Neurospora crassa OR74A: one gene and its partner. The protein of the gene in region 2 interacts with the protein of the main gene of each other region in a pairwise test. Links are inferred from orthologs where the notes say so. Each region holds a gene or a part of one and is shown on either strand. Other genes may lie near its edges.

What was found.
Region 1: the proteins of NCU09118 (region 2) and NCU02204 interact in a two-hybrid assay, tested with the Saccharomyces cerevisiae proteins (2 studies listed by BioGRID). The link is inferred for Neurospora crassa OR74A from reciprocal best matches to the Saccharomyces cerevisiae genes TOP1 and TRI1.

What each region holds. Positions count from the first base shown.
Region 1 is NC_026507.1:3,338,205-3,342,392, forward strand, and holds NCU02204 (SWIB/MDM2 domain-containing protein), read left to right. Parts: upstream 1-1,354; 5' UTR 1,355-2,382; coding exon 2,383-2,395; intron 2,396-2,455; coding exon 2,456-2,592; intron 2,593-2,725; coding exon 2,726-3,187; intron 3,188-3,239; coding exon 3,240-3,425; 3' UTR 3,426-4,002; downstream 4,003-4,188. Other genes in the region: NCU02205 (hypothetical protein), read left to right, coding at 1-34, 197-369. UniProt on the Saccharomyces cerevisiae protein: May be involved in transcription regulation.
Region 2 is NC_026501.1:5,391,514-5,395,776, reverse strand, and holds the start of NCU09118 (DNA topoisomerase I), read left to right. Parts: upstream 1-1,388; 5' UTR 1,389-2,121; coding exon 2,122-2,173; intron 2,174-2,365; coding exon 2,366-2,589; intron 2,590-2,649; coding exon 2,650-4,263.

The DNA of each region.
Region 1 (4,188 bases), on a different chromosome or scaffold from region 2:
CCCGAGATGGTGGCTATCCACGCCCATTCTCGTAGTAAGTAGGACATGAGGCTCGTGTCGCATCAAGCGAGGAAAGACTGGCTAAAAGTCCTCCAGTAGTACATAGGTGGAAAGGGTTTCCAGCTGAGATGAACTTGTCTGGAATGCCACTCGTCTTTTGACCTACATGTGGACTCTTGGTACCGCATTTGTTTAGCAACAAGAACTGAACACGACAACTTGATGTCATGGGAGTGCATCATGCAGGTCGTTCCTAACCTCTTCCTCTCCTCTATGAGAATTCTTGTATTTGCAGCCTTGCTGATAGGTACCTCTACACGGATATATTACTGCATCACCGTCCACGCTCTGCGAAGAGTTCCAGGATAGCTTTCTCTTGTCTCTTCCTACCCTCCTTCCTCAACGCAAGACATTGTTTTGAATATCCCACGCCGCACTGAACTGGGGATGTTCCAGCATATCGTACACATTCACCTCGGTATTGGAGTTCTGAATCAACACTCGTCCCTGCATCTAGACTTGGCCATCTAACATTCCAGTCCACTTTACATCTTGGAGCCTTTCGCGTACGACGGGCCACTTGGTAACGATGCTCTTTCTTATTCTTGGCGTAAACTTTGCGATATGCCTAGGTGGTCTGGTTGATGCGGATTGTCGAGTGCCAACTGAGCAAAGGTGGTGGGTGACGTCGATATTCATCCCAAGAGAGTGGATAGGCGTGGTGGGTTAACCGACTTGAATAGACGGATGCCCGGGGTTGGCAAATGGGAGTCCCTTCGGATTCTCTTCCCACAACTGACCATGAATCGTCCAAAACAGCAATGGACGAACGAGGGCGATACAAAGGCTAGGTAGACCAAATCACGTAGGAGAAGGGGTTTTATAGCATCTCTCGTCCCTATCATCCCATGGTGCCATCCAAATCGACATTGTTAGTAGAGTGATCACACATGATCAAGTCGACTCTCCCTCGAGTGTGTAAGTTGGACGAAAGAGGAAAGTCTTGGGAGTTGTAAGACGAAGGGTCCTCCGGCGGCATTGAACACTGGCTTCCGCATCACGTGGCTGCCCGCATTCCGGCCATCGGCCACCGGCGTGGAGATTTGCGGCAGCGTGAACTGCCCTGAGAGCAAGTGGTAGGCAATTCGGTCCGTTGATTGGCTAGAAATGGGATCGCCGCTCTGAACACCACCCCACTTTCCTTCCATCTCAGACGAGCCGGGACGGCAGACGGAACCGTAGGTGGGGCCCTTGAAGCCAAGTGTGGAACCAATCACCGTCGCAAATCAGCCACAAAGCAGCCTCACTTCTTCCGGTTTTGGCGGACAGTTGGCGGACCGTGGACCACCAACACCGCGACCGACCTCACTGGACTGAGACTCCCGGACGCCGCCGCAACGCAAGACACTGCCTGCAATGAACTGAACAGAAGACCGCGACGGCAATGTCACGGTAAACTGAAGGAATCGCATCTCTCAGCTAGTACTCCACTCCCGTCCAGAACTTGTTCAGGTACCTGAGGTCATCGTGCGCTTCGTTCCATGCTTGGGCTGGCCATCTGCATCAGAAGAAGAAACTGCTGAATCTGCAATTCGCTGCTTGTGCGCCTACACGTCTCGAGGCTCAACTCAACACCTTCTCTCCACCGTACGCGATCGCAGGCATCACACAACCGCATCGCATCGCAGCATCCCTACTCTATCTATACCTGTCACATCAGGGCACCCGGCATACTCGACACAATTGAGCCGGCAGGACGTGGTCTTTTTTTTTATATTTCTTTTTTTTCCTTCTTCCCTCCAGCTCCAACACCCAAGGGTTGACCCAATTCTGTCGTGTCTTGGATGATTCGATCATCCATCATTGATCGGTCACTCATCCTTTCCCTTTTCGCGACCATCTCGTAGCGTATCATCATCTTCACCGGCTTTTGCTCCAAGCGCCCCTACTTGAGCGACAAACCTAACCTGCTACTTTGCGCTTCTTGTCCGGTATCTTGAGCGTCCTGACCCCCCGGCTGTTCAAACAGCGGCCCATACGCATCCTGTCTTTCAAGTCCAAATTCGGACAGCAAAGAACGGCCATTCTGTTGTCGCGTTGAAACAAAGTCAGCTGTCGCGCCCGCAAACTTCCTGCTTTGTTCAACTAGGCCACAGTCGGCGACCTGTTAATCGCAGCTGTTTACTTTCCTTCACCCAAGAATTATTCCTACCCGGACTTTTCGTCAGGGCGCAAGCTATTCCATCCACTGAAGCTACCAGCCCTTACATCATCTGCCAGCCCAGCTTCAGTTTAGAACACCACAAGGTTCTAGTGGACACCGCACCCAATCATCCCCAATTTCTCCCGTCAGTGGGTGTATTGTGCTACACCACCGGCAACATGGCCGCGCAATGTAGGAACATTGCCCAAGCTGGTCTCCCCTACCGAATGAAACTATGCTAACTCGGTCTAGTTACTCCCGAGGAGGAGGCGACCTACGCCCGCGTCATCGATGAAATTCTCGAAACTGCCGACCTCGATACAATTTCTCGCAAGGCCATTCGGCAGAAAATGGAAGCGGCCATAAACAAGGATCTAAGTGACCAAAAGGTCAGTCGGTGCTAAAGCCCGCCTTGTCTGCTGCATTGGCTTGCTGCTTCTAATAGAAACCCCAATGCTCTCCTAGCACCCTCCCCGGTTTCGGTTGTTCGATCACCTGCTGACAGTTCTGGACTCCGTATAGCATGCCATCAAAGGCTTGATAGAAGCCCGATTCGACGCCGCGCAAGCACGCAAGGCTGCCCAAGAGCCAACACCCGAAGAGGCGACTCCCGAGGCGACTCCTGACAGCGACGAAGATGACGCTGCTACCGATGGCGAGATCGAGGTCCGGCCTAAGAAGCAACAAAAGCGCGAGAGCTCAGAGGATGCCGACGCTCGCCTGGCTGCCGAACTCCAAGCGCAGGAGAATAAGCTCTCTCGCGGACCCCGAACACGAGGTGGAGGCGCAGCCAAGGTGACCAAGAAGTCCAAACCCAAGGCCAAGACACCAAAGAAGAAGAGCGCAACACGGGTCAAGTCGGACGATGATAGTGACATGGAGCCCGAAGAGGTGGAAGGGACCAAAAAGCGCAAGGCCGGTGGCGGTTTCCAGAAGCCCTTCAACCTAAGTTACCCTCTCCAGGAAGTTTGCGGAGAAGCTCAGGTTGGTGGTCATTGTCCAATAGGCCGTGAACCGAAAACTAACCCCATCACAGCTCTCACGCCCACAGGTAGTCAAGAAGCTCTGGGAGCATATCAAAGCGAACGAGTTGCAGGATCCCAGCGACAAGAGACAGATTATTTGCGACGAAAAACTTCAGGCGGTATTCAAGCAGAGCTCAATCAACATGTTCCAAATGAACAAGCTCCTCGGCAACCAGCTGTATCCGATTGAAGAGTAGAATTCCACGTTCTGATCTGGGATGAAAGGGCTCCTCACGTTGGTATTGGGTCATTGGGGACTAGGCAGTAGGCTGGGCGTGCATGGCGTCATTGGAAAATCTCTGGGGCTTCGGAACTACTAGTATACCACAATACGTCTCGTTTTCATGGTTTGAGGGTTGATAGGAGAGGTGTATGAAAGGGATAGCGCATTTTCTCGGGTTTTGCTATTTGCTGGGGTTTGTCTTTGAGACTTTCTCAGGGGCGCAAGGGGGGTTTCTCTTACCCCAGTCATACCAATTTGGAGGCAGATACAGGTTATGAGTAAGTCGGAAGGGTTACTCGTCGGTTAGGTTAACGTGCCTCGCTTATAGCGTGCACCTAACCGACAAGTAGGAATAGGAAGAACAGTGACCGAGTTTGAGTCATGCCTATCACCGGCGGTCGACGGCTGGGTAGGGCTGCTCGTCCTGGTGTCAAACTTTTTTCTGGAGAATGGAGGTGCATATCCTCATCAGCTCATCTCTTAGCATTTTATGGTGGTGTTTAGTATCATGGTGACCTACCATAGGGAACGGGAAAACAGGCATGGCGAGACATCAGCGATCTTTCTCCTTTGTTGTGTTCGTACTTGAGAAATACAGCAGTCCTTCTCACATGCACTTCCAACACCACCATAAGGCTGAAGCCGATAGCTAGTCACTTTAAAAAGGGGACGACAGGGTATGTATGTTATGTACTGATTGCCCCTATACGGTCGCCATAGTCAGGCATGCCAAGCCA
Region 2 (4,263 bases):
ACTATCCGAAGAATAACTCAGTAAATAGGGCCTATATCTCTTTATATAGTATAAAAGTAGGGTAATTTAGACCATCGGGTATATTAACGGTATACTAAATAATAAGACTACTATTATTAAAAGCTTCCTTTATATTGTTATTTTCGTCGAAAAAACTAATAAAATCTATACTTCTACGCCTAACTTTAAACTACTCTACTATAAATACCTTAATATTAAACGACTTTAGTTTAATAACTTATCCTTTTATCGCTACTTTTATTACGCATTTACTATACCTTAATTGGAGGCGAGCCTAAAGGTCGAATATCTCTTTAATAATATTATAATTATTATCCTCTATAAGTGTATTATTGTAGTTTACTCTATTATCGACGTCTTGCTCTACTTATATATAATCCGGGACTTAAATATTAGATGGAGTAGAAGAGAGAGCAAATAATTCTTTAATTCCTAATAGTTTAGTTGCTAAAGAAGTACGTTAGTAATATGGTTATACTTAAGAGCGATTACGACGATGTTGTATGTGGGCTGGAAGATTGCGAATGGATTGCGCATCCTTGTGTTGGGAGTCTTCCTCTATGGTAATGATAATGAAATTGATACCGTTGGAAAGCTGTGATTTTTGCGATCCGAATTAACTAGAAACCCTCGTGATGCGACGTGTTGTTGTGAAGTTATAGTGTTGAGGTTGATATTCTGGGGGGTTGGTCAACCTCTACGCGATTCTAATCGAGTTGTGTACTCAGACCTCCTTGAGCGGAGGGCCAAAATATTGCCCGGTTTGGAAAGAAAATTCAATTTATCAATAAAATGCTGAGATTGTGGTATTCGTTACAGGTCCGTGCACGCCCGGGAGCTCAAGGTGGGTCTGAGCGCTGAGATAACTACTTAGCATCGATCCGGTTGTGAATTTGGTGCTCACTTGAACGAGGAAGTGCCTTGCAAACGGTTGTATCAAAAGCGTCCACGTCTCAGTGTCCTTGACGGTAAATAACTTGAACCTAAGTCACCCACAGATTAAGCAAGCACACGGAAGCTTCACTAGGGTGAAGATCAGACGACGCGGTGTTTTTCTGTTTGAATGAACAAGGTGTGTCAGTATGCCTTCAGCTTTCTGGAGCAATCATTGTGAGGCTGGGTGCTCACGATCCCAGTGGTGCCTAGCGTACTGTTGTTGGAGCGCCCGTCTTTGCCACACGCAACAGAGAACTTCCATTCCATAGATTCTACGTACCGCACTCACGACACTGACGGGCGTACGCTACGCTAGAAACTGAACGCTCAGACTCAAGGTACCGAGAGCGGGGACGCGCTAAAAAGGTACCGGCCTCTCAAAGTCGACCACCTCAGGGATTTTGGGGCAGGTGAGGTGCACCGACCCAGGCGAACCAGGGAGAATTGCGGTACAGACTGGACCTGGCGAACATCCCCCTGCGACCGCGACGACGCATCGAAACCTTCCCTTCCGTTGGCTGGAGTCCCGACTGGAGACTCAGTTCTCACTCACCACACACCCACACACCCACCCACCCACAGCACCCATCGATACTTCCACAGCCTGGCGGTCCTGGCAACGACCGCCCAGAAAGAGTTGCAGGGTGGAGCCCCAGGATTTATCTTTAACAGCCTCCCGACTGCCCTTGCTCTTCCCGAATTCGTTCATGCTGCCCTCCGCCTTCGCTTTTTTCCCTTCACTTCTTCTCCCTCACCTTGCGCCATTCTGGTTCTCTCCACCCTCCAGGCTCTCCACATCCTCTCTCTTTTTTTTTTCACACACTCGTTCCCTCGACCGGCCATCTCGATTTTTCGCGCACCCAAGACCTTGACGAGTTCCCGAGACCCTCGCTTTCCAGCCTTGGTCACCAAGTGACTTGCACCAAGACTCTGTCCACGGTCAAAGGTGTAAGCGGTCACCTCCAGCGGCGAATTTCTTTCTCTCCACGTCTCCCTTCCTAGCGACGACCGACGACAACATTTTCGACTCGGTTGCCCTGCAGACATCTTGCTAGCAACCCTTCGCCACTGTTTAGCGGCCGCTACCTCTACGGGTCGGATTTTGCGCCCTTACACATTCGTACGTACCTACTAGTGCCGACACCGCAACACGCTTTAGCAACCATGTCTTCGGGCTCTGAAGACGACAAGCCGCTCGCCAAGGTCAACGGCCACGGTACGTCAATGCTTCTGTGATCAGTCACACACTTTCATCCATCAGCCCTCGCTTATTTCACTCTATCCTCTGCCCCGTCACACTGTTTGCCAGCCGATCTGAGTCAACGTGTCATGCCTTCCATGGCCTCGTCTAAATGCAATCTGTCATTGTACCACGCCCATGAGACTAATCTTTTCTCTTCAACTATAGCCTCGGCGCCGACCATCTCCAAGGCCGATGATCGTGCCATGGACGCTGCTGATTCCAAGGTTCACATGGCTCCCGTTGGTGTCTCCATCCGTAATGGCCCCGTCGACCAGGACAGGATGGACGTCGACTCCTCAGTAAGCGGTCAGGCTAAGCGCAAATCGCGGACATCCATTGATCAGTCCATCAACTATAAGGATGACTCCAGTGATGACGAAGCACCCTTGGTAAGTTTCCCAGTCTTTGCAGCTTGGTATCCTTGCTTGGTCTGTGGCTGACCAGGACAGGCGAAACGTTCAAAAACACAACATAAGCAACCAGACTCCGATAGCGACGACGAGCCGATTGCGAAAAAAAATGGCGCGAGATTGCCTCCCTCCGCCAAGAATACGGATATGGACGTAGATTCTGATGACGACGAACCTCTCGGAAAGATCGCCGCGAAGAAGGCCAATATCGAGAAGGAAGCCGCCAAGGAAGCCAAGAGTATTCGTGCTGGTACCAAGGCCAAGAAGCCTGCTGCTAAGAAGGCCGTCAAGGATGAATCCTCCGATGACGAACCCCTTGCGAAACCCACCAAGCGACAGGTCAACGGCACAGCTGCGAAGAAGACGAATGGTGTGAAGAAGGAAGAGTCTGACTCGGATGTGCCCATCGCTAAGCGGGCGAAGAAGGCACCTGCCGCGAAGCCTGCTGCAAAGCCTGCTGCAAAGCCGGCTGCAAAGGCTGCCACGAAGGCCGCCCCGAAGGGCAAGGTTGCCGCTGTCAAGAAGTCCGTCAAGGAGGAATCGAAGGACATCACCGATGAGGACGATGAGGAAGAGGAGTATAAGTGGTGGGAGGAGTCGGCAAAGAAGGAAGATGACAGTATCAAGTGGACCACCTTGGAGCACAACGGCGTCATCTTCCCCGAGGATTACCAGCGTTTGCCCAAGGACGTCAAACTGCTCTACGATGGAACGCCGGTCGAACTCGATATCGAGGCCGAGGAAGCTGCGACCTTTTTCGGCTTCATGCTTAACTCGACGGTGAATGTTGAGAACCCAACTTTCCAGAAGAACTTCTTCAGGGACTTCAAGGAGATCCTAGATCGGACAGGTGGCGCCAAGGACAAGAATGGCAAAAAGGTTGACATCAAGGAATTCGAAAAACTCGACTTCTCCCAGTTGTGGGCTTACAAAGATGCTCAAACGAAGGCTAAGAATGCCCGGTCGTCAGCAGAGAAGAAGGCCGAGAAAGCCGAAAGGGACAAGAGGGACGCCCCCTATCTATATTGCAAGTGGGATGGGCGAAAAGAAAAGGTTGGTAACCCCAGAGTGGAAATTCCAGGACTTTTCCGTGGTCGCGGTGATCACCCCAAGACCGGGTGTATCAAGAAGCGTGTTTTGCCAGAGCAAATTACCATCAACATCGGCAAAGAGGCCAAGGTCCCAGAGCCGCCAGCTGGCCACAAGTGGAAGGCCGTTCAACATGACAACAAGGCAACTTGGCTCGCGATGTGGCAAGAGAACATCAACGGACACTACAAGTATGTGATGTTGGCAGCAAACAGTACTGTGAAGGGCAAGGCCGATTTCAAGAAGTTCGAAAAGGCCCGTGAGCTCAAGAAATACATTGATCGCATCCGTGCCGATTATACCAAGGACCTCAAGAGCGAGGTCATGGCTGACAGGCAACGCGCAACGGCCATGTACCTCATTGACAAGTTCGCTCTCAGAGCCGGTAACGAAAAGGATACCGAGAACGAGGCCGAGACTGTCGGTTGCTGCTCTCTCAAGTACGAGCACGTCACCCTCAGGGAACCCAACACTGTCATTTTCGACTTCTTGGGCAAGGACAGTATTCGTTTCTACAACGAGTTCACGGTCGATCGCCAGGTCTTCAAGAACCTCAAAATGTTC